2 linked regions of the Nothobranchius furzeri genome follow. The protein of the gene in region 1 binds, or shares a complex with, the protein of each later gene. Links are inferred from orthologs where the notes say so. Each region holds a gene or a part of one and is shown on either strand. Other genes may lie near its edges.

Region 1 (12,405 bases):
AAGAACAGAGCACATTCATGTTTATATTTTTCTTTTTCCACCCAACCATGGTTCACCTGTTCGGGAGGAGCCGTCATTGCAATCTTAACTTTGGGGGGGGGGGGGGTATTTGTTTTTGTGGGACGGCTGAGCTTCCCTCTGTGTTCCTCTTCAGTACAATTTTGAGTGAAAATACGTAAATATGTATACATTTTTAAGGAGCTGCGCTAACATTTAAATGCGTTCTTACGTGTATATGATTTTAAAATGTTGACATTTTGATTTTAATGATAAAATACTCTAGTCAGAAAAAAATAAATTATACATAACCTGAATCTGTGTGTGTGTGTTTGACTTTATGAAAGAAAATGTGGTGGCAGGAAATAACATTAAGATTCTAATTTGTATTTCAAGTCGCACAATGGCTTTGTATTTTATTGCAACAAAAATTGCACCCAGGTTAGAAAAGAAACATTTACAAAAGAAGGCAATTTGTTTACAAAACTTAGTGGTATGTACGGGTTTTTTTATAGAGGGGAATAAAAGGCAACCATGACCGTACCAAAAGTCAACGCAGGTAACAGAAACATTTGTCCTCAGGCTTCGCAGTCAGGCGGGGCACAAAATAATACAACCACTACAGAACAAATACTGAAAATGTTCAAGAGATGCAAATGAAGGAAAATAAAAAGATGAGTACATTTTCAGTCCAGTGTTTCCCCCAGGACTTCTTTATTTCTGGGGTGGAAGGTCTTTACATACTGTAGGCCTTTATTTTTGATAAAACCCTATCAGGAAAACAGCCTGTTGACCTTGTTGCCCCGATCCAACGCTATGCTACCGATGGCTTTTATTTGAGAGAAATCTGTATCGTCAAACATTTGCATATATTAAAAAATAAGATCCAGTCTAAGAAAAGGGTTCAACAGATCACCAAATTGCAGATCATGCACCTGTGCCAGTCGGTACAGCCAAGAGGCGTGCTGTTTTTTTTCTCTAGTGGAATTGCAAACATTTACGTTCCGTGAACCAAAAGCCACTCTCAAGCATGCCAAAGCTTTATATTTGCACCTGAACGTGTGAAGGCTGAAGCAGGCCTGCTGGTAGTGTTACAGGCACCGTTTGTTACCCAAGTGTGCAGGAAAGCAACATAGTGAAGGAAGGCTGGAGGCTCAAAACTACCTTAAGCCAATGCTCCCATTACTTTATGGCACGTGGTTGCCAACACTCTTAAAAACACACTTGCACAATCTCATCCGCATACAACCCAATACGAAAATACAACTTAAAATGCATCGATGAGGTTAAGTGTTTATAGTAATTGTCGAAGCTCAACAAAAACGAATGAAAGCAGACATTTTCATGATCGTACTGATTTGTGGGAGGGGTTAAATCAAATAGAATACATAAGACATCAATTGGAAGATGATTGGTGACATGGAGAATTGGCCCCAGCCTCATTAAGGCCTACGTGATGTGCATTCAAAGATACAACTGTCTAAAAAGATCCACATACATTTTCAGCTGACTCAGTTCATTGTAACCACAGGATTAATAGTCAACTGTAACGAACCTACAGCGCTGTTCTCAAATGCATCACACCCCTCACTGGCCACAACACAGAAGGAGTAATGGAATTTAAGTTCATATAGTCTCGATCATTGGACGTTTAAGGTGCTACCTCTGAACTATGTCCGTGATCTCCTTAATCGAGGACAGCAGCTTTTTGAAGTCCTGCTGAGCACTAGAGCCCCCCGTGGCAGAGGGGCAGATTTGAAGCTCACGCAAGCTGGTCTCAAGCTTGTTGTTGGCCTCTCGAAAAGCAAACTTGTTCCTCATATGTTGAATGGAGTCAACATAGCTCGTGCAGTACTTCGACAGGTTCTTGCCGGTCTCCAGCACGGCGCTGTGGCTCCCAGTTTGATCCTCCATGCGGGAGATGGCGAGGAAAAGCTGCTCTGCCCCATCCAGCAACATGTCACGCGTCACGGCTGAGTTTGGTGTGCGCTCGGAGGATTGGCGGGGCGCTGTCTTGCGGAGAGAGCGTCGAGCAAATGCGGTTGAGTTCTGATCGGTGTTGGGGGTGAGAGAGAAGCCTCCCTGGCTCAAGCTGGAGGGAGAAAGGGTCAATGAAGTGGAGGGTTTGAGCGGTTTATAGGTAGAGCTCAGGGGCGCCTTTTTGGATCCCTCACTGGTGGGCGAGCGTGCTTGGTCACTAGCAGCAACTGTGTGGTGGGAATCTGAAATGGAAGGAAGGTACTTGATTTTGATGTCTGAGGGGGAAGACGAAGGGGAAGACGAAGGTGAGGGGAGTTCTTGAGTGGGGCTACGGGCGATCTTACTGGTTTTGGCACCAGTGGGAGGTGGAGGTGGGGCTGGTTTGGGTTTCTGGAACTTCCCTCTTCCCCTGACAGACGAGGACTCTACCATGTGCTTGCCTCTGCGGGCTTTGCACTCTTCAACTCCTCCTAAAGTGAGTAACACTTCAGCACCGATCCTGGAGTTCTCCTGCCCGGGCACACCGGGTCTCTTTACCACCTTTGGTGTCAATGCCTGGAAACTGGGACCAGAACAGGGTTCTGTGTCTTTTCCAAGGAGAGAAGAAGAGGCCTCTGAGGAAGTGTTCAGACGTGGTGGAGGAGTCAGGGTGCCCATTCGCCGGGTGTTCTCTCCTTTCTGCTCATTGGTCCTCTTTACCGGGAGAGCTGGTTTACCTCCAAGAGTGCCTGACTGAAAGTGGCGCTGGCCCAGATCTCGTGGCAAAGTGACTGATTTCCACTCAGTACCACCTCGACCATTGGACATGTTGGAAGGCAAGAGGAACCGGTTTGAATTAGAAACGGACTCCTCTTCACTAGGTGGTGTCATGGCCATCTTGCTCCCAGGACCAGGTGCTGTAGAAGCTGCCTTCTTTCTGGAGTACGAAGTTCCTGGGTAGTTAGCATTACCTCCTGCACCATTATTGATAGCAACCAAAAACTTTGAAGATTCAGTGCTAGGGGATGTGTCATTAAGTGACAAAGATGCACCGTTGTTGAAATTGTCATTGTCTTGAGGATCAGGAGTCACAACTCTCCTGTCGGTGTGGAAGTCGTCTCTGAAGGAGGAGCTGCGTACAGGTGGAGTTGGTGCACTCTTTTTCTTTTTCTTGATGAGGCTGAGGAAATTACTGACACGTGTCTTGTCTCTGGGCATCAAGCGGTCGTCTTCATTCAAGTTGTTGTCCAGCATGGAGTGCTCTTTCCTATGAAGCATTGGTGAGGAAACAGCCACCTCCGGATCCACTGGGTCTGAGGAACACCACAGACACGTCGCAGGTGAGAAAAACAGGAAAAAGTTATCCAATAAAAAATACATAAAATAATGAAAACTACTAAAATTTATGTGACATTTGAAAATGAAACATTTGAAACCACTTCTATAGCCACAACTCCACTATAAAAATTGTACAAAATTTCTGAGAGAGGGAAAATATGATGGCTCGGTCTGGTCCTCCCAGCCCTTTTAGGACTTAGCTATTACATCAGTATAACACAACTGCTTTGGCGGTGAGGGACGTCACTGATTAGATGCAAAAGGCGTCCACAGACATTTATAACATTAAAGGAGTTTGATTTTGTCAAAGTACGTAGGTCACATCGTTCAGGGCAATGGTTCCTAACCTTTTTTCACGAGAACACCCTTTCCTGTGTCCAAGACAAGCCAGGGCCCCCCAACCCTTACTCCTACGTGCATGCACACAATTAAAGTGAATAATTACAAATATATACAGAGTGGTGCCTCTATTGGGTGTGTTATCTGGATTTTATAAATGTAGTTTTTACAACTATAATCCTGGTAATCTCATAACTGCAGCACATACAAAATTGTGGGGAACCCCTTGGGGAGTCATGGACCGCAGGTTGGGAACGACTGGTTTAGGGATGGCAGAGAGCTCTTGTTTGACATGAAAAGCTGCAATCAATAAACAGAAGAAACACTAGTTTTTATTGTGCTCTTACTAAAGACCATACAGCAGCAGAAAGTGGTGCGTTGTGGAGGAACTGTTGCCAGACTTGTTGGCATTGGGACTCTAGAAACAGCAACTTTAAAGCAGTACCAACGCGGCTTATTTTCTTTTTCTTCCATTCTGCTTCACCAGAAACCCTTCCAATTTCTAAATACCAGCTGTTTGGTGACGTCTACCGATAGAATTATTTCCCACTGAATGGCTTAGAAAGCAGTCCTTTCGGCTCGGCCCAGTAAAATGGAGCAACGCAAAAAAACTGTGAAGGTCTGGTAAAAAATTACCCAGAAGTTCCGAAAGTGGAAATAAGTCCAACACCTTGAAGCCCAACCAGAACTAAAAAGATAAATCAACCATAAAGAAGACAAGCAACCAGAGAACGTGACGTGCATCCCACCTGGACTGTCTCTGTCCCTGTTTTCCGTGTTTCTGCGGAAAGGTCTGGTCTTGGTGGGCAGCTCTGGAGCCTGCTGGGTGGAGCCTAATGTTGTCTTCTTCCCCTTTTTCCCCAGCTCCTTCTCAACCTCTGTAATTACACAGATCATGTGTTAACATTTTCAAATACCACTGTGATTCGTTTCTTTTAATTAGGATATCTATAATTCAACACTAATTGTTTTTCTGATGATAAGAAGCAGCACTGACCATCAGAGATGCTGGATTCCTGGAACATGGTCTCAAAGGCTTGGTGTGTTTCAGCAAAAGTTGGCCGTTCCACAGGGTTCCACCTCCAACCTGACAGGAAAAGTGGAATATGCATCAAAACATGTCCTGAAGAAAAGAAAATGGCTGGATTTTTGTACTCACAAGCTGTCATGAGCTCGTAGACCTTCTCTGGACAGCCTTCAGGTCGTTCCATGCGGTAGTCTCTTTGCAGCAGCTCATAGACTTGTGACAGGTCTATGCCAGGGTAAGGAGACATGCCGTAGGTGGCAATCTCCCACAGCAGCACACCAAATGCTAATCAAGAGACAAAAATAAAGAGTTTACAGGAAGAGTTAGATAATGTAATAGGGGAATAAAAAAATAAGAAAACCTACCCCAAACATCAGATTTATTAGAGAATGTGTTGTAGGCCAAACTCTCTGGAGCAGTCCACTTGATGGGGAACTTGGCACCAGCATGAGCGGTGTACGTATCTCCAGTCATTAGGCGACTCAGACCAAAGTCTGCAACCTTCACCAGGTGGTTTTCACCCACCAAACAGTTGCGGGCAGCCAAGTCCCTGAGGATAAAGACTAGTTAAAGGGACAATTTGCAACTTTTTCATATTTTTAAATCATTTTCCTCTGCCAGTATGTGCTAAAATGACCCTTTACAGGATTAATGAAAGGCCACCCAGCCCCTATTGCCCCCTGTGGCCAGAATATTGTACTTGCAACATCACAGCTGCTGGTCCGGTCTGCTGGGACTAAAGTCTAATTTAGACTTCGTCTGCGCCGGGACGGAGACACGCAACGTCATTATCCATCCTCGCAAGCCTGCTGGAGATCCCTCGTAAGGACAGGCGGAGTTGAGCTTTTTTCTAAACATCTGTTCGACGAGACGGAGAACGCAAGCTTGTGATTGGTTAGGACGCTGCTGTCGTCTACAACCCCACCACTGCGCCCTCAAAAACAAAGAGAGCCGAGGATATCGAGCGGCAGACACAGAGAAGCTTGAAGAAGACTTTGTGGAAAAACTCTAAAAATATGAACGTTTTATTCCCCCGTGACTGGAGGAGTGAAAAGATGCGCAGCAAGTGTTTAATTTGTGGACGGAAATGACGGGAAACATGGGTTTAGAGGTGGTGAGTGCATGAAGAGGTGGAGGAGAACGACGGACAAATTTGCCCGTGTAAAAGTATGAAATAAAACTAACACAAGGATACCCCAGAACAGCGCTACGCCCTCTGTTGTCTTGGCGGGGAATTGCTTTGTGACACTTCCCAGCAAACGGAAAGTATGAAAGCAAACAGTCTCCGTCTGTGCGTGCGTGTCTCTCCCTTGTGGAGCTGATGCAGAAGTATGAATTAGACTTTAGAAAAAAATGAGCTGAGGTACCTGACGCAGCAGTCTGCTTCCATCATGTTTCCTGCATGTTTTAGATCATGAACCCAGCTGATTTGTTTAATTTAGTGATGAATCACTCCTGTAGACACTTAGGACCGCTGGCAGACGTTTCAGCTGGTAGATTGAAGTGTTAAAAAGATGAACGCAAAGCGAGGAGGAGAGTAAACTGACACAAGGGGGTGCTAAAAGCAAGCAAAACTGCTTAGTATCCCTTTAATAGGACTCTATGTAACACACTGACACTGTAGGTAACGGTAATGGTAACTCACTGCCATTAGTAGGATAAAGATATGTGAAATACCATCTACACACGGATGTTGCAGCATCAATGACCCTTCAGTTGTTCTATAATTGAATTTAGCCACCTGTGTATGAAGTTTTTCTTCTCCAGGTACTCCATGGCAGAAGAGATCTGAGTGGCCATGTACAGCAGCACCACGGCATTGACCTCTTCTCTGTTGCACTCTCTTAGGTAGTCCAGCAGGTTTCCGTGGGTCATGAACTCTGTAATAATGTAGAACGGCGGCTCTCGTGTGCACACACCTGCCAGCAACGTGTATAAAAAACGAAAACAAAGTTAGACTTTGATGCCTCCTTAATCAGATTTCATGAAAGGTTACAGCCGTGTTGAATGAATCTAGTGAGACATTTGGAGAATTTTTCATATGCACATGTATTTAGAACATACCCAACAGCTGCACAAGGTTAGGGTGTTTGATTTCTTTCATAACAGCAGCCTCTTTGAGAAACTCCTCCACCTCCATTGTGTCTTCCTGCAGATTTGACCAAAAGAAAAAAAACTGTAAACTGGGTGCAGTTGCTTCTTTGTTGCAGCAGATGGCAGCATTATTTAGTCAGATTCACAATGTTTCCACCGGGCACAGCTACATTAACTCCCGTCCTTTGTTCATACCTTAAGTGTCTTGACAGCCACAGTGAGGTTGTATTTCTTCCAGACACCTTCGTAGACCTCCCCATACTGGCCCCCTCCCAGTTTGTGCTTCATGGTGATGTCAGTGCGCTCCATCTCCCACTTGTCATAGTTGGGAGAAACTCCATAGATGGTGGGCTTGTTGCGTTTTGCTGCTGGGTAATGCAGAGTGGTGATGAGTCCATCCTGCACGGTGGAGTGGTGGTGCACCAGCTCTGCTAATGTGTTGAAACGGCTCTCTGATGAGACATACAGCTGATGGGAGAAGAGTTTTTACAGTCAATCAAATATATTAGAAACATTATTTCAGCACTAACACAATCTAAATTTACTTTATTATTTAAGAAAAAGACTTTTTAACTGCGTTCTAGTGCTAGAAAGTCTGGTCTGAAAACAAAATGAAATGGTATAATCTGGAAACAGTTATAACTGGAAAAGTTGTGCTCTTGGCCAATTCCAAGCTTGCACGGCATTTGTCAGGAAGCTGGTGGACAGAAGGATATTGGTCAGGGCTCAGTGGACACAGACTTTTCCATTATTCAAGTCTTACATAATACTAAAAATGGTTTCCGCCAGTATGTTCCGTGTGAATTACTTTGCATTTTATTAGCTTGCATTGTGCAAGACTAGGGGGACACAGAAGACAGAGGTAAAGAATACTCTTAAAAACCCTTAAAAGATGTGCACAAGCGTAAAAATAGAACTAATTGGACAAATGATATGCAGTCTTGATATACTGGAACCATCGGTTATCCTGCCACTGAGTGAGTGGAAAACGATGCGAGAGGAGAAATATCCATGTGTCTGTGTTTGTGCATTTGCTTTTTCATGTGCGAGCAGACATACTTGGCTACATCTGTCTGCACTAAGCCTTTCTCAGCATGGGTGTGAATATCTGGGTCAGGCCTCCTGTTCGCTGCTTGTTACCAGAAGCACAGTGGTGGTCAAAGACATTTTTGTCATAGCTAAAGTTCCTGAAGCTAGCTCACCTCGTTTCATCACACACAGAAGGGTGGCACAAGCAAAAGGCAGTCCCACAACAAGGACTAAGCTCTAATCTCAACCTAACCTGAACTCCTGAACTTATCTGAGCACAGCAATACAGCTGTCAAATAGTGTTGTGGGATTTTCATAGACCAATATGAAAGGAACGATACTAGTGTGCTACAGCTTTGTTTCAACTAATGTCAAAATGCATTCATCCATAAAACTCATTTAAAGGGTTAAAAACAAGAATTGAGAAGCTTTTGAGTGACTTTTTTGTTTGGTTTCAACAGTAAAATTTGTGCCTTTCACACTATGTTACAAGCTCTTTGCAGAATGTTTTACAGCGTTTAGAGCAGCAGCGAAGGGTACAAACAGGATGTTTAATCCTTATTTTTTGTAACACTTAAGTCAGCACATAAAGACTGGCAGCACTATTGTCAACACTAGCCAACACAAACATTTCCCCTATTATTCTCTTTAGACTCCACACCTGAACTGAAAATGTATCAAACCGGTATGACAGTAAAAAGAGATGTGAGCTGAAGGCTCTGCTATAAGGTTGAAAGATGAAATAAAATGCATTTATGATCATCTGTAACTTGAGAGAAGGCATGTTTGAAATATATACTCCAAGTTTCTGATATGGCCAACCTTGCCGTCTGATGCAGTGTTGATCCTGTAATGGTACACTCTCCCCTCATAACGCAGAGAAATGGACCTCTGTCCGGGGCTGCTCTCGCTCTCTCGGACCAGAAAGCTTCCGTTGATGCCGGAGCTGAGCAGGTACTCTGCGGCGTTGCGCGACACGGGTCCGTGGTACCAGCTGTGCTTCTCCAAGCTGTTGACCGGAGTGATGTAGTTGGACGGCACCCATCCCTGGCCATTCTTGGTCTGGGCCTCGCACCACTCACGGTTGGGGTTGTAACACAGAACGCGTAACTTCTCTCCTAAAACAAAAAGGAGTCAAAATTAGCCTGAAATCTCAAACACTAATTATTTTTAGATAATGGAAAAAAGTCATGAAGTAAACCTAATAGTTATAAGATCTGTTATCTAGCAAAATATATCCTAAGAAAAACAAGTCTTAATTTTATCAACATGCGGAGTGATCCGATGCTAGACGTTTTATTGTTTACTTTAACGACTATGTTCCCTCCTTCCTTCCTCCATTTGTCTGGGTGATCCATCTGCAGTATTGTTTTACAGTTGCTTCGGTGGAAAAAGACCCATGAGTCAGAGCTTTGTCAGGAAGTGGGAATCAGATGGGAGCGGGAAAAAGAGGGGGCACAAACAAGGAGATTCCCAGTGGGAAAATCTCCCTAAAGGGACATTTATTCACTATCTGTGTCCCTTCCAATCAAAGGACACTCCTAAGGTTGGACATTTTGGAAAAAAAAAAAAAAAAGGAAAGGTTTGCTGTAAATAGTTTGTGCTGACTATGCGTTTAAGGTGACTAGAAATATTCTACTAGTTAATTACATAGGTATAAGCAGGGATCTAAAAATTTAATTTAAGATCCTTTCAAGTACTGCACAAAATACTGCATTGCTTCGTTTTCCGCTTCAACAGGTGGCGGGATATGCCACGTCCAGGAAGGCAAGGCTGTAGCAGTGGTACGAAAAGTTGCGTGGTACGAAAACGCAAGCAAACAGCCGGCATAGGAGAACAAAAAATAATCTTATTTTATTAGTTTACTTGCATTTATTTTTCATACCTGCAAACTCTGAAGGTGTGAAAAAGGTGACAAATGTCATATTTGGCTTCTACAGGGACCATATTCTAGCCTAGCGAACTAGACCAAATTCTTGCTTCGCAAAGTTTATACTCACATAATTAGTCTGGCTTGTTTGCAAGTATGAGACAAATGTATTTAATCCACGTCAATACTAACCAAATTTAAAACTACCGGTATTTAAGAAAGATGATCTAAGATGATTTAGGAAAATTTACGGGTCTTTAATTCGATTTAAGGCTTTTAAAGACTTTGCAAGACCCCGCGATTACCCTGATTCATGCCTGGTTACAAAACCTTCTTGCTGAACACACCCCAAATAAGCCGTTACCTTTAGTGATGCTCAGTGTGTTGTCACCGCTTGCAACAAAATCGTAGAGTGCAACAAAAAGGTTGGGGTCATTCTCGCTGGGTCCTGCCAACAGGTTCTCTTTGGAGTTCCAGCGGGCTGCTTCTGACAGACCCTGACTCTCAAAGTCTGGCCTTTGGAGAGCTTCTAAGAAAAACACAAAGATAAAAGCCCATCAGAAGAGTGACAAACACAAGATATGTAGGTGAATGTGATACAAGCCTGTGATGCCCCTTTTTCCCCAACACAGATTTATAAAAACTCAACAATTCAGCAAGAATTTTGTAGAATTGCTCCACCTGCTCACAAGTAAGTCACCTGTGATCCCACAAAGGGGTAGAAGTAATGAACCCGATCTTACGACCTCCACTGTCCCTCATGAATCAGCAACTTTTCACTTCCTGGATTATCCTTACTTACCTTTTAATTTTCTCTGAAACTTGAATGTAGATGACTATCCCACATCAAAACCACGAGCATCCAACTCAACCTGTAACTTTCATGGTGTCTGTAAATTGTAATGCATAAACCTCACAGCAAGACAACCCAAGTTCAAAGAGCTCTAGTTATGTTAATGACAGACTATATGAATTATAGCAATTTTAGAGCAGTATAAGTGATGGATAAAATAAGGTATGTGAGAAAATAAGAGTAAAGGAATATGGCATTTGAAAGCAAGATCACAAAGACTGTTTGTGGTGAACACAAGTTTAGCTGGTTGGTTACCAATGTTGATACACGTCTGACATTTAATACCCCCAGCACAGCTCAAATATTTTTAACACCAGGCTTACCTGCATTTGGTTTTAAATTTGCAGTTAGATGTGAAACAGAAAATTTTCATTTTAAATGTCAAGGTTGAATTTAATAGCCACAAAGCTCATAAAACGTGAACTTAATCCTAGAAAATTGTATAATTGTTGGATAACTATAATGTGTGTGTGTGTGTGTGTGTGTGTGTGTGTGTGTGTGTGTGTGTGTGTGTGTGTGTGTGTGTGTGTGTGTGTGTGTGTGTGTGTGTGTGTGTTAACTAATATGCAGATTTAGGTCAAACTGGCCCAATGAAAACATTTGAATGCAAAAACATTTCAGCTTTTTGTATTGGACACCATCTTGGCCTATTCTACAGTCGGCTGTTTAACGAAGTGATGTTGTTGGTAAATCTAGTTCACCTCAGCCTCATCGGCTTTAAAATCAGGGCCTTGACTTTCCCTTTCTAAATCACTTCTGACAGTGGAACTTCACCACAACGTCTCATATACACACTGGTTTGTGTGCTTGGATTTGAGTAAATCTAGTTTGGTTTTTGTCATATCCCACATTATCAGAATCTCCAACTGCTTTGCCCCATTATTGGTGCTAAGGATTCACAGCACAGGATTTAAATCAGACATCAACATTAGTTCATTTCAAATGCATCCACTCATCCAGTGACATATTGTTCTAATAAAATAACAATTTGGCTGCTAATTGGCTGATGAGGCCATTTCAGCTTTAGCAACTTTCAGAACTACTAATGGAAGAGGAAACGAGTCAATAAAACTGCAAATGAGATGGATACTCACAAAGGTGAAAACAATTAAATAAATTTGATGCCAGAGGTCAGAGGAGAATGGCCAGACTGGTTCAAGATGATAGAAAGGCAACAGTAACTCAAATAACCACTTGTTATAAACAAATTATGCATCTCTGAATGCAAAACATGTCAAACCTTGAGGCAGATGGACTACAGCAGCAGAAAACCACACCGGGTGCCACTCCTATCAGCTAAGAACAGTAAACTGAGACTACAATTTGCACAAGCTCACAAAAACTGACAACAGAAAATTGGAAAAATGTTGCCTTGTCTGATGAGTCGATTTCTGCAGCATCATTCACATGGTAGGGTCAGAATTTGGCGTCAACAACAAAGCATGGACACATCCTGCCTTGTATCAAAGGTTCAGGCTTGTGGTGGTGGTGTAACTGTATGGGGGACATTTTCTTGGCACATTCTGGACCCCTTAGTAATTGATCTTTGTTGCTGACAATGTCCATTGCATTAACCCCAGTATACCCATCTTGTGATGGCTACATCCAGCAGGATAATGTGCCATCTCATAATGCTCGAATCATCTCAGACTGGTTTCTTGAACATGACAATGGACTCACTCAGAGTCAGAGTGGTTACATTATTATTAGGTTTATTGATTTATAACCAGTAGCGGCTCTTAGTGGGCGGAACCTGGTCATCCACCACAAAGAAAGGCTGCTCATCTAGCATGATGACTATTTATTTATCCGGTTAGCTGCTCGCCATTTGATGACCACACTCATAAAGACGAGTGTTTAGGACCGTGGCTGCTCTGGGTTCTAGGGCTGGGGGTAAAC
Region 2 (12,405 bases), on another chromosome or scaffold:
AAGGAGGAAGTTGTTTATGCTTCAGACCAGCTCAGAATATATCCTTTAAACCTTCAGATGTCTTTTCAGGAGGAAATCGTTTGCACCTCATGTGTGCTGACGCTCATGTGGTCCCTCCATGAATGGGACTGGGCTTCCTTTAGGTGGAACAGCAAGCATGACGATGTTCACCAGAGAAGAGTTATTTAGAGAGGCAGAGCCTAAACAAGCTGATGTGCTAAATGAGATCATGTTCTTCTGACCATAACTAAGATAGGTTTCCTATTAGTGTCCTTTGCTCTTGATACCAAACTCTCAAAACTTCATCAGCCCACTCCCTCCATGCTTCACATGTCTTTTGTTTCTCACCTCTGAAAGCAGACAGATGAAGTTTCAGAGCAGAGGAGGTGCAAAGTGGGAGACTGATGTTTTCAATGTCAGAAACAGCTGTGAGATCAGTAGATTAGTGCAACCCTGTCACTCTAAGGGTTGCATCAGTGCAAAAACACCACATGTTAGTTAGATTTTAATATTTTATGAGAACAAACAGGAAGATTCAGAGGTGGACAGATGCCCTTTGATCTGTTTGTCTTTCAGTTTGTTGACAGAGACAGAGATAAGGAAAGTTTGTGGTAAAAAGTTCTCAGAATTTACGTCTACATAAAAAAAAGGCTATTAAATACAAAGAACAAAAAGGTACACACACACACACACGTGCACACACACATCTAGTTCATTTACAAAACATTTTCGATCGAAATCACCAAATTTTATTTTGAAAATTTCCAAAAATGGAATTGCATTTTGTTTTACAAATGAGCTCATGTCTACATAAACAGCCAGTTCTCATTATGTACAGAAGCCTATTAGGGCCACTAGTCAGAATGTCACTACAACAGCTGAAATCCTATTTCCAGAAAAATGTCTAAAGTAAGCTGTTTGAAGATTTGTGAAGGAAGCAATGTTTATTGTGTTCCTGAACCCTCCAAAAAGCTTATTAGTATTGTTTTATAATAAAACTCCACTAGTTTATATTGTGTTTGAGACTCTTATTGTGAAGGATTTAAGGAAGTTGTGCTGAAGATGCTGCTACAAGAGCACATATAGGGACTAGCTCCATTCAATAGGCGGCCCACTGGCCCATTGCCCAGATACCTCTTCGTAATTTTTTTATTTAATTGCTGCAACTTAATTGTAAGTGTGATCGTTAACGTTTTGCAATATTTTAAGGCAAGTATTTATTTGCCATTTATGCTGCTAGTGGAAAGTTTACAACAGCAGTTTCTTGGGAAAACAAGTCACAAAAGAGAGGAGACATATGGTTGACAGTGAAAATAAAAAAATTAAGTGACATCTGGACTGTTAAGTCCAAAAAGCTGAGGGAAACCCATATGCCTTGTCCATCGTGTCATTTGCTCAGTAGATGGAGAATACAATTTACGGAGGCTTTTCTAGACAACTCACCAACAGACTCAGCGAATCAACAAACAAAAATAAAGAAACTGACTCTAAACTATCAGCAAAGTTGTGTGATTTTCACTTGGAACCCTACATTAACATCTCTGAATTGTGTGCATACTGACTAAAAAGAAAAGACAATGGCACAATACAAGAGATGGATGAGCAGCCCACTGGCAAAAGTATGGGGAGAACAAAAGATACACACACACACACAAATCTAGATACACACAGATCTTTTTTCTCTGCATACAAAAGCCTTATGACGATTTGCCCCAACAAAAAGATCAAATTGAATATCCCTGCTTTAGATTTTAGAAATAGTTTTCTTTTTCATAATATTGTTGTTTTTTTACAATTTCCTCTGTACTTTCGTTTCTTTTCTTTCCTTTCCAGCTATTATGTTTTGATTTTTACCAGACATTTAAATTGCAGTTGTATTTCATCACTTCCTCTTATTTATTTCCTCCTCTCAGTGGCTCTGAACTATACTGAACATTGTGCATTATCACTAACTTTGTGGACTCTTCACAGCTTTACATTTTACGCTGTTTTTACACTGTTAGTACAAATGCCATGTCAGAGTGTTTCTGCTGCGTCTTTGGAAGCGTTGACATTTGATGTGCAGAGTTATCTGGGGTTGAAACATACCAATTCAGTTGACTTTTAATGAATTTGTAATTGAATTTGGTGTTTTTAATAATGTCATCATAGTGTGAAAACTTTAACTAAAAAAGCTTGAAAGAGTCACATCAGTCACTCGCATAAATGTATTAAAAAAGCAGCAAAATTATTTTTAAGAAGATGAAATCTGCTTTATGTCAAATTTTATTATAGTTATTCATTTTTCTGTGGGACGTATTTGCACCAAAAAAGAGTGATTAACAGGTTTGACTAAAATTTAATATAATTTTTGCTAAAGTAACAATGTATGGGTGAGTTTCACTAAAATATTGGGTTAGTGCTGGCGGGCTGTGTTGTCAGAATTCAACTCTGTTCCTTTAATCTGAAGTTTCTGAAGCTGCTTCTTACATATTTTCCAAACTTTTGACTGAAACCCACCCCAGGTGGTAAATATGTATAAACTGGATTAGCTAACAGCAGTGGTGGCGCCGGCAGGGGGGGTGGGGGGGGGGGCTATAGCTACCCCTGAATTAGTCATTACACCCCATAACACCCCCAAGTAAATATTAGATTTTTTTTTTTACAATTTAATTTTAATTTAACGTGTGGGTGTGATAATATTTAACGTACAAAACAAAAATAATCAGTAAATTATCTTATAGATAGTAAAAACTTAAACCAAAACAGGAAATTGATGTTAACCTTTGACCTCATTTTCCACCTGCGAGTGAAAGGTAGAGCTAGTGGTAAAATGGATCAGTTTTTGTTGCCCAAATCAGTGGCGGCTCCAGAATTTTTTTTCTGCAGGTGCTAGGAAGGAGCTAGTCTTTTTATTGAGGGTGCTATGAAGGAAGTGGTCATGCGTACCCATTGTACTCTAAAACACTTTCAACACTAGCAGATACACATGCGTGCACAAAACCTCAACAACACCTGAAACAATCATTAATATACATCATAAACATATGAACAATCGCTGACTTTTCCATGAAGTCATAAACGCATACAGCCACACAGAAAACCATCTATAGTGTTGCAAGGTTAGCTAATGTTAGCGTTAGCATTTCCAGCGGCAAAACCCTCGACTACTGCAGCGGTTGAGGGTCGACTCTCTTCATCCAGATCCGTAGGTTTTTGTGGGTCTGAGATCACTTCCAAACATTCATTCGTTTCTGACTGAACCCGTGGAAACGTGGGCAACAAAAACTGATCCATTTTACCACTAGCTTTACCTTTCACTCGTTCGCAGGTGGAAAATGAGGTCAAAGGTTAACATCAATTTCCTGTTGTGGTTTAAGTTTTTACTATCTATATGATAATTTACTGATTATTTTTGTTTTGTATGTTAAATATTATCACATCCAAACGTTAAATTAAAATTAGTTTGTAAAAACAAAGAAAAATCTAATACTTACTTGGGGGTGCTATGGGGGTGCAATGGCTAATCCAGGGGTAGCTATAGCGCCCCCTAGCACCCCCCTGGCTCCGCCACTGGCCCAAATTTCCACAGGTTCAGTCAGAAACGAATGAATGTTTGGAAGTGATCTCAGACCCACAAAAACCTACGAATCTGGATGAAGAGGGTCGACCCTCAACCACCGCAGCAGTCGAGGGTTTTGCCGCTGGTAATGCTAACACTAACGTTAGCTAACCTTGCAACACTATAGATGGTTTTCTGTGTGGCTGTATGTGTTTATGATTTCATGGAAAAGTCAGCGATTGTTCACATGTTTATGATGTATATTAATGATTGTTTCAGGTGTTGTTGAGGTGTTGTGCACGCATATGTATCTGCTAGTGTTGAAGGTGTTTTAGAGAACAATAGGTACGCATGACCACTTCCTTCATAGCACCCTCAATAAAAAGACTAGCTCCTTCATAGCACCCGCAGAAAAAAGTTTCTGGAGCCGCCACTGGCTAACAAACATGTTGCTTTACAGCAGGTCACAAGATGCCACAGACCTTCTACACGAAGACCTTGTTGTGGTGAGCCTTTTACCTATTTTCTGACATCATGATTGATTTCAAACACCTTAAAGAGACAATGTGAAGTTTTTGCCATTATTCTCTGGAAACATCCATCAAAACTCTATTGGCGGAACTATTGGCAACTCTGTAACATAACCGTTAAAATCAGGTCTAATGCACATGAGTGCTGGTCTGAGTTTCTGGTTAGACCTATGGGTTAGACGCTACGTTTCCTTCTACAGGAGCTTGTGAGGACAAAACGCATTTTCTGATCCCCTTGCACCTACAGGAAGTTTAAATGAAGAGCTCTATGAACACAGTGAGCACCTGCAGCTAGGTGTACAGTGATCCCTCGCTACTTCGCGGTTCGTTTATCGCGGATTCACAACTTCGCAGATTTTTTCTTTGGAGCCTTATTCAAGGGAAATTCGCAGATTTGCGGTATTTTTCACCGATTCGCGGTATTTTTCTATGCGAAATATCAAGAAATTCCTGTTTTTTTTCATCAATTTCATCATAAAATGCACTTTTTGTAATAAAATTATAAAAAATCCAAGTAAAAGATTTTTTTCTTGAGTTTTACCCACAAAAAGAGAATGTGATCATACGATAATTCAATATAGTACTGTACTGTAAATATGGTGTCCCTACTTCACGGATTTTCACCTATCGCGGCCAGGTCTGGAACGCATCTACCGCGATAAACGAGGGATCACTGTAGCTACAGGAAAATCTTTGTTAACATCTTCGTGCACATGCACGAGTGGCTGTGTAGCAAAAACAAATATGGCCTGCTATTAATACACAACATACATTTTCACAAGAGTTTAGGGGCAAAATTACATCCACAGACCGGCGGAGGATTAGAAAGAAGCCTAAAATCTGTATTGATGACAAAATTGAAGTTTTTAAATGTTTGCTTGAGCTCTGGGGTGTGTTGTTTTCACAAATCTGCTGGGGAGACATTTATTCATTTTTAACAGAAAACTTTGGACCATTCACTCATTAAAATGAAAAGCGTTCAGAAGTCTGGAGGCCTACGATAATTTTTTTGAAGGAAACTTGGGCCGATCTTCTGCAAAACAGAAGCTTGTGGTCGTTCTAATAGTGGGAATCGGCCCCGAAGAGCAGAGTTGCAATGCAATTGCGGGTTGAAACACTTGAATCAGAACATAAAAACTGCATGAAAATGGATGTTTTTAAAACATCTTCTCTGATTAATAAATACTTAGTCACAAGGACTTGCCATGATCAAAATTAGCCTCACAAACTTTATTATATATATATATATATATATATATATATATATATATATATATCCATCCATTTTCATCCGCTTACCCGAAGTCGGGTCGCGGGGGCAGTAGCCTAAGTCGCGAGGCCCAGACTTCCCTCTCCCCAGCCACTTGGGCCAGCTCCTCCGGGGGAATCCCAAGGTGTTCCCTGGCCAGGTGAGAGACATAGTCCCTCCACCGTGTCCTGGGTCTACCTTTAGGTCTCCTCCCGGTTGGACGTGCCCAGAAAACCTCACCAGGGAGGCATCCAGGAGACATCCTGACCAGATGCCCGAGCCACCTCAACTGGCTCCTCTCGATGTGGAGGAGCAGCGGGTCTACTCCGAGCCCCTCCTGAATGACCGAGCTTCTCACCCTATCTCTAAGGGAGAACCCAGCCACTCTGCGGAGAAAACTCATTTCGGCCGCTTGTATCCGTGATCTCGTTCTTTCGGTCACTACCCAAAGCTCATGACCATAGGTGAGGGTAGGAACGTAGATCGACCGGTAAATCGAGAGCTTCGCCTTCTGACTCAGCTCTCTCTTCACCACGACAGACCGGTACAACGCCCGCATCACTGCAGATGCAGCACAAATCCACCTATCGATCTCATGCTCCAGCTTTCCCTCACTCGTGAACAAGACCCCAAGATACTTAAACTCCTCCACTTGGGGCAGGACCTCATCCCTGACCCAGAGAAGGCATTCTACCCTTTTCTGAATCAAAACCATGGTCTCAGATTTAGAGGAGTTGATTATCATCCCAGCTGCTTCACACTCGGCTGTGAACCACTCCAGCAAAAGCTGAAGATCACGTTCTGATGAAGCCAACAGGACCACATCATCTGCAAAAAGCAGAGACCTAATCCTCAGGCCACCAAAACGGATGCCCTCCACACCTTGGCTGCACCTAGAAATCCTGTCCATGAAGGTTATGAACAGAATCAGTGACAAAGGGCAGCCTTGGCGGAGTCCAACTCTCACTGGGAACGAGCCCGACTTACTGCCGTCAATGCGGACCAAGCTCTGACACCGGTCATGCAGGGACCTAACAGCCCATATCAGAGGGCCTGGTACACCATACTCCCGGAGTACCCCCCACAGGGCGCCCCGAGGGACGCGTTCAAATGACTTCTCCCAATCCACAAAACACATGGAGACTGGTTAGGCAAATTCTCACGCACCCTCCAGATCCCCCTAAGGGTATGGTAAATGGTAGATGGCCTGTATTTGATATAGTGCCTTCTAGAGTCCTGGAACCCCCCAAGGCGCTTTACAACACAATGAGTCATTCACCCATTCACACACACATTCACACACTGGTGGGGATGAGCTATGATGTAGCCACAGCTGCCCTGGGGCGCACTGACAGAGGCGAGGCTGCCGAGCACTGGCGCCACCGGTCCCTCCGACCACCACCAGCAGGCAACGTGTGTTAAGTGTCTTGCCCAAGGACACAACGACAGCAACAGACTGAGTGGGGCTCGAGCCTGCAACCTTCCGATTACGGGGCGAGCACTTAACTCCTGTGCCACCATCGCCCACTTATAGAGCTGGTCCAGTGTTCCACGGCCAGGACGAAAACCACATTGCTCCTCCTGAATCTGAGGCTCAACCATCCGATGGACCCTCCTCTCCAGAACCCTGAATAGACCCTGAATATATATGTACTATACACACACACACATATATATATATATATATATATATATATATATATATATATATATATATATATATACCAAAATACAATAAAATTACATTATAAAAACTGACCATAGTAATGTTTATCTGTATGTTTTTACCTTTTTACTGACTAATTGGAGGTGGAGCAGCGGGTGGAGCCGGCCAAGAAGGCAGCTCAGGTCCTCCATAAGAAGCTGCAAGGCTGCATGCAGAGTCAGCCGGGGCTGGAGGCTGAGAAAAGAATGGTACAAGGAAGCTATATCTGCAAGATGTTAGTAATTCTTTGTTATTATAAAAACAAAAATGTTCTTATGTGCAGAAAAAGCTTCCTCTGATGCTGCTGTCTATCAGCATGGCTGAAAGCCTCAAAGACTTTGATGCAGAGTCCTCAATCAGGTGACAGGTTTGATCTGCTGCTGTTATCCCTCCATCCATTTCCTCTCATTCTGCGGATCCCAGTGGTTTTACACCTGTGTGTCTGTGTTACAGGAGAGTCCTGGAGATGTGCTGCTTCATGGAGAAGATGCTAGCCAACATGCTGGCAGACTTTGAGATGAAGGTGGAGAAGGAAGTGGTGGAGCCACTCAATAAGCTCAGTGAGGTAGTGATGCTAGTGCTGCATGCTGCAGAGTCACCACAGATATCCCATAAACCACTGGACAGGTTTGAATGATACTCCAGGAGTCAACCCAATTCAAAATGGCAACCAGAGCTAATCAGCCTTAGTGAGCTTTGGATTCAGACTGGACCACCAGCACTTTGATTCTAGTTGTTCTGTTATAGATCTGCTGCTGTGTTTGGACCATTGTTCTGTTCTATGACCCAGTTTGGTCCAAACTTCAGCTTTCAGACTCACATTAGGCTCTAGAGAACTTTGATCTACAGAGGAGTTCCTGATGGACTCAGAGGCTGTAAGGAGCCCAAACCATCAGCTCTCCACCACCGTGCTGATAGCTGGGATCAGCTTGGTTCTGATAGGCTGTATTTAGTTTGCACCAAACATGACCCAGTGCATTATGGGTAAACATCTCTACCTTGGTTTAATCTGCCTGATGAACATCATTCCAGAAGTCTTCTAGTTCATTTAGATAAAACATTATAAACCAAAGGAGGTTTTTATCCCACAACCCTTCCAAACAAACCTTGCTTCAGTCAGTCCTAACATGACCTTTAACCTCTAGCCTGATGCCTGGAGGCTAAAGAACCTGAGATGAACTTCTCAGGTTTTAAGTCTAAAGTCAGTTTTCCTTTTAGGAGGATTTACCAGAGATTCTGAAGAACAAGAAGCAGTTTGCAAAGCTGACTACAGACTGGAACAATGCCAGAATCAGGTGAGTGGCCCACCCTCCGGAAAGAGCGTATGTTCATGAGCTACAATATCAAGTGTGTGTGTGTGTGTGTGTGTGTGTTTACAGGAGTCAGGCTAGCACTGGCCCACAGGCAAAGCAGGATGGGCTCAGGGAGGAATTGGAAGAAGCATGGAGGAGGTTAGAGAGTATCAAGGTATCAGAATTTCCTGTGATCACATGATCTGCTGCAGGTTTAATGAGAGTTTGTTGTCTTCCTGACCCCTCCTCACCTGTTCTCTGTCTCCATAGGACCAATACTCTGCTGACCTGTATCACTTTGCAACTAAAGAAAACGACTACGCTAACTATTTCATCCGTGTGAGTTGCAACAAGTGTGTCATAACCCAAATCTTCCGTTTGGTATTTTTTAACCATCACACTTGTTTTATCAGCTTCTTGAGCTGCAGGCAGAATACCACAAAAACTCTCACGATTTCCTGGACAAAACCATCAGCGAGCTCAAAGAGAACCACAGTCAGAATGGTGAGCATGCTTTGGGCCGGTGTTGATAAGCACGTGTTCATAAGTGTGTGTGATTCTGCAGAGCCAGCACTAAGCCTCTCCAACCAGAAGGTCTACGGGGAACCTCTACTCTCACATCTGTCTCAGAGCAGCAGAGAGATCGCTGCTCCCATCCAGGAGTGCATCCAGATGCTGCTGGAAACAGGAATGAGAGAAGAGGTAGAACTACTTCCTGTCTCCATGTTGCTGCTCAGGCACTCCCCATGGTTGTTCCTCTCAATGCTTGTCTCTCTGTAGGGTTTGTTTCGGCTTGCAGCAGCAGCCACCGTGGTGAAGAGGCTGAAGATCTGCTTGGATCAGGGAACGGTGGACCACAGCGAGTTCAGCATGGACCCTCACGCTGTCGCCGGTACAGATGCACACATCTGGCTTTGACTTGACTTTTCTCAGCCCAGAGCACGAGTTTCTGTCACGGGTGCTCTTCCTCGTCTGTCCGACCTTCGTGACTTTCACAGCTCGGTTTCCATTTTTGTAAAATGTGATTCAAATGTCAGCAGCAGATGGATTTTATAGTTCCAACATCACTTTATTAATCAAATGATAAAAAGTTATATTAATGTGAATATTTTTCTGAATTTTGTTGACACAGGAGCCCTGAAGTGTTATCTTCGAGAGCTTCCCGAACCCCTGATGACCTTTGAACTCTACAACGATTGGTTCAAAGCAGCAGGGTGTGTGTGTGTATGTGTGTGTGTGTGTGTGTGTGTGTGTGTGTGTGTGTGTGTGTGTTAGTGAGTCATTTCAGCTCTAGAGTGTGTGTTTCTGGTCTCACAGGGAAAAGGACCTGACAGAGAAGCTGGAGAAGTTCAGAGACTTACTACAGAAGCTGCCACCTGACAACTACAACAACCTCAGGTATCTGCTTTGTATCGTTGCACAAATAAGGAACCTTGTGAATAATTAGTATCTTACCTGAGGATTGCATCCAACTTAACTCCTTGTTTGTCTCTGAGCTCTGACATTTCAGAGAATGCTTTCCTGATGTTGACTCTGTCCGTCTGACATTTTTTTTAATCTATAGTTTTTTTAAGAGGCTCTGCCATGACGAACACAATACAATAAATGCTAACCATCTGTAGTGCGTCTGTTCTGAGGTGCAAACATGGATTGCCGTAAAGTGTGAGATACATCCAGAGAGGCTCAGGCTGTAAATTTGGTGTTCTGCTCACAAAGAGCAGAGGGGGCTGAGAGAATATTCATTCACCCTAGATAGGGTCATTCTAGAACCTACTGGCTTGAGAACATAATTTAAAATATAACAGAGTGCCTTTACCAACCTCAGTTTGTAAAAACAGAGATGAGTTCAGAAAAGACTGATGAGGTAACGGCTAGGACCAAAGTGTTGCTGCCACCTGAAAAAACAAGCAAGTCATAAAAACATTTTTAAAAATGTTGCTCCTCTGTCAATTTCTCATCAAATGATCATAAACATCCTATCAGAAGGACTAAAGTGCTGCAGCTAGCTGTTGCAGTTTGCGCTAAATAAACATCTATTTGTCACGCTGAGGAGTGGAGGAGTAGGACCCAAAATGCAGATACCCAGAACGACATGAGGCTGGAGTAGATGTCAATGAAAACTTTCCTTTATTAGGAAGTCGAAATAAAGTAAATAAAATCCAAGGAGGAAAAAATCTAATAAACCTGGAGACCTAAGAGGGGGGAGGACAAAACAACGCTGATACAAAACAATGGACCAACAGACGCAGACAGGGTTATATACACAAGGGCTGGGTGATTAGGGAATTGTGCACAGGTGAGACCAATAAACAGAGGAGGAGCACTACGGAGCAGGGGAGGAAACCAGACCTAAAAATGGGATAGGGAGCAAAATGAACTAGAGGGAGAAAACTGACTAGATAAAACACCTAACAGAAGACTAATGATAAAAGGTGTCTAAGGAAAAATGTAAGGGAAACCTAGAGAGCCTGGAGGGGGTTGGGGACACACAGGGACACTGAAACCTGGAGGGAACACCTAAGGGGAAAAAACCTGGAGTGGGCTGGGGAACACAAGGAGGCTCATGAGGAGCACAAGAAGACACATAAGGGAACCCTAGAGAAACCTAGAGAGGGATGGAGAACACAAGGAGACACATGAGGGAGACGCAGGACGCAGACCATGACACTATTCTCTTAAAGATGACTTAACTGATGAGTTTTAACCTCTTAGGTGTGTTCTTGCTGTGTCGTATCTCTAATTCCATGCTGTAGTTCTTTTGTTTTCCTCTTTTCCCGCTACGTTTTGTGTGCGGCTGCAAACTTCCTCAGGCTGACGCTGATAGTGGCGTCATGACAGCTTTATCCAAAAACGAACAGATAATTATTCTACCGGTAGACAAAGAAAGAACTACAGTAGTTATGGACAGAGAAAAAATAACCAACAGATGTTAGAAGACAAAAAAACATACAAAATACTTAAAAAAGACCCAACAGAAAACATTAAGAAAAACATGAAAAAATTACTGAAGCCACTACAAGAAAAAGGCAAAATAACAGAAAAAATGTACAAACACTGGATTCCTACAGCAAACATAACACCAAGAATATATGGAATGCCAAAAATACACAAACAAAACTCCCCACTTAGACCAATAGTTGACAGCATAGGTACACCAACATACAACATGGCAAGAGTAATCAGCAAAATCATCAGTCCGTTATTAGGAAATACAGATCAACACTGCAAAAACAGCATAGAGCTGGCAAAAGAACTAAAGGAGATTACAATAGAAGACAACGACATACTCATCTCACATGACGTCACATCCCTGTTCACAAAAACACCAACCCAAAAAACCATAGACATAGTAGTTAACAGAATGAGACAGGACAAGACTTTACACAAAAGAACAAACCTCACAGCAGATGACATAGCACAACTGATAGGACTGGTAGCTAACTCCACTTACTTCACATACGATGACGCAATATACAAACAACTGGAAGGCTTCGCCATGGGTAACCCGTTATCAGCCACCCTGTGCAAGTTTTTCATGGAAGACCTAGAACAAAAAGCCATAGCCACCGCCCCCCCAAACTGCAAAATGAAACTATGGAAACGCTACGTAGACGACATACTGGAAATCATACCAAAAGGACAAACAGAAACACTAACACAACACTTGAATAACATTGACGACACAGGCAACATAAAGTTCACTTATGAGTCAGAAACAGAAGGCAGCATAGCATTTATGGACATGAAAATCACCAGGCAGACCGATGGGACCCTAAACATAAACACATACAGGAAACCAACACACACAGACCAATATCTATTATGGACATCAGAACACCCCACCATACACAAAATGTCAGTAATCAGAACATTATATCACCGAGCAAACATGGTAACAGAAGAAAGAGACCGTAAACAAGAGAACAGACACATACAACACGCTTTAAAGACCCGACATGGGCAATAAACAAAAGAAAACAAACAACAACAGAAAGAAAAAAACAACCAAAGCAAAGAACCAGAAACCCAGAAAGACAAGAACCAAAACCAGTGATAACCCTACCATACATCAGAGGCATAACAGAAAA

The links.
Region 2: the proteins of abl1 (region 1) and sh3bp1 are in contact, whole or in part, in a crystal structure (PDB 1ABO), measured with the Mus musculus proteins. The link is inferred for Nothobranchius furzeri from reciprocal best matches to the Homo sapiens genes ABL1 and SH3BP1. Residues at the interface, in NP_033724.2 of Mus musculus: Tyr70, Phe72, Ser75, Gly76, Asp77, Thr79, Asn94, Glu98, Trp99, Trp110, Pro112, Asn114, Tyr115; in NP_001303613.1 of Mus musculus: Ala607, Pro608, Thr609, Met610, Pro611, Pro612, Pro613, Leu614, Pro615, Pro616.

What each region holds. Positions count from the first base shown.
Region 1 is NC_091746.1:53,698,321-53,710,725, reverse strand, and holds the end of abl1 (tyrosine-protein kinase ABL1), read right to left. Parts: intron 10,183-12,405; coding exon 10,018-10,182; intron 8,902-10,017; coding exon 8,606-8,901; intron 7,223-8,605; coding exon 6,950-7,222; intron 6,810-6,949; coding exon 6,725-6,809; intron 6,580-6,724; coding exon 6,402-6,579; intron 5,211-6,401; coding exon 5,026-5,210; intron 4,946-5,025; coding exon 4,793-4,945; intron 4,721-4,792; coding exon 4,631-4,720; intron 4,512-4,630; coding exon 4,383-4,511; intron 3,270-4,382; coding exon 1,657-3,269; 3' UTR 1,221-1,656; downstream 1-1,220. UniProt on the Homo sapiens protein: Non-receptor tyrosine-protein kinase that plays a role in many key processes linked to cell growth and survival such as cytoskeleton remodeling in response to extracellular stimuli, cell motility and adhesion, receptor endocytosis, autophagy, DNA damage response and apoptosis.
Region 2 is NC_091756.1:27,535,962-27,548,366, reverse strand, and holds part of sh3bp1 (SH3 domain-binding protein 1), read left to right. Parts: intron 1-4,001; coding exon 4,002-4,047; intron 4,048-7,129; coding exon 7,130-7,234; intron 7,235-7,308; coding exon 7,309-7,385; intron 7,386-7,478; coding exon 7,479-7,590; intron 7,591-8,243; coding exon 8,244-8,320; intron 8,321-8,404; coding exon 8,405-8,492; intron 8,493-8,587; coding exon 8,588-8,656; intron 8,657-8,730; coding exon 8,731-8,821; intron 8,822-8,882; coding exon 8,883-9,019; intron 9,020-9,097; coding exon 9,098-9,209; intron 9,210-9,449; coding exon 9,450-9,531; intron 9,532-9,634; coding exon 9,635-9,715; intron 9,716-12,405. UniProt on the Homo sapiens protein: GTPase activating protein (GAP) which specifically converts GTP-bound Rho-type GTPases including RAC1 and CDC42 in their inactive GDP-bound form.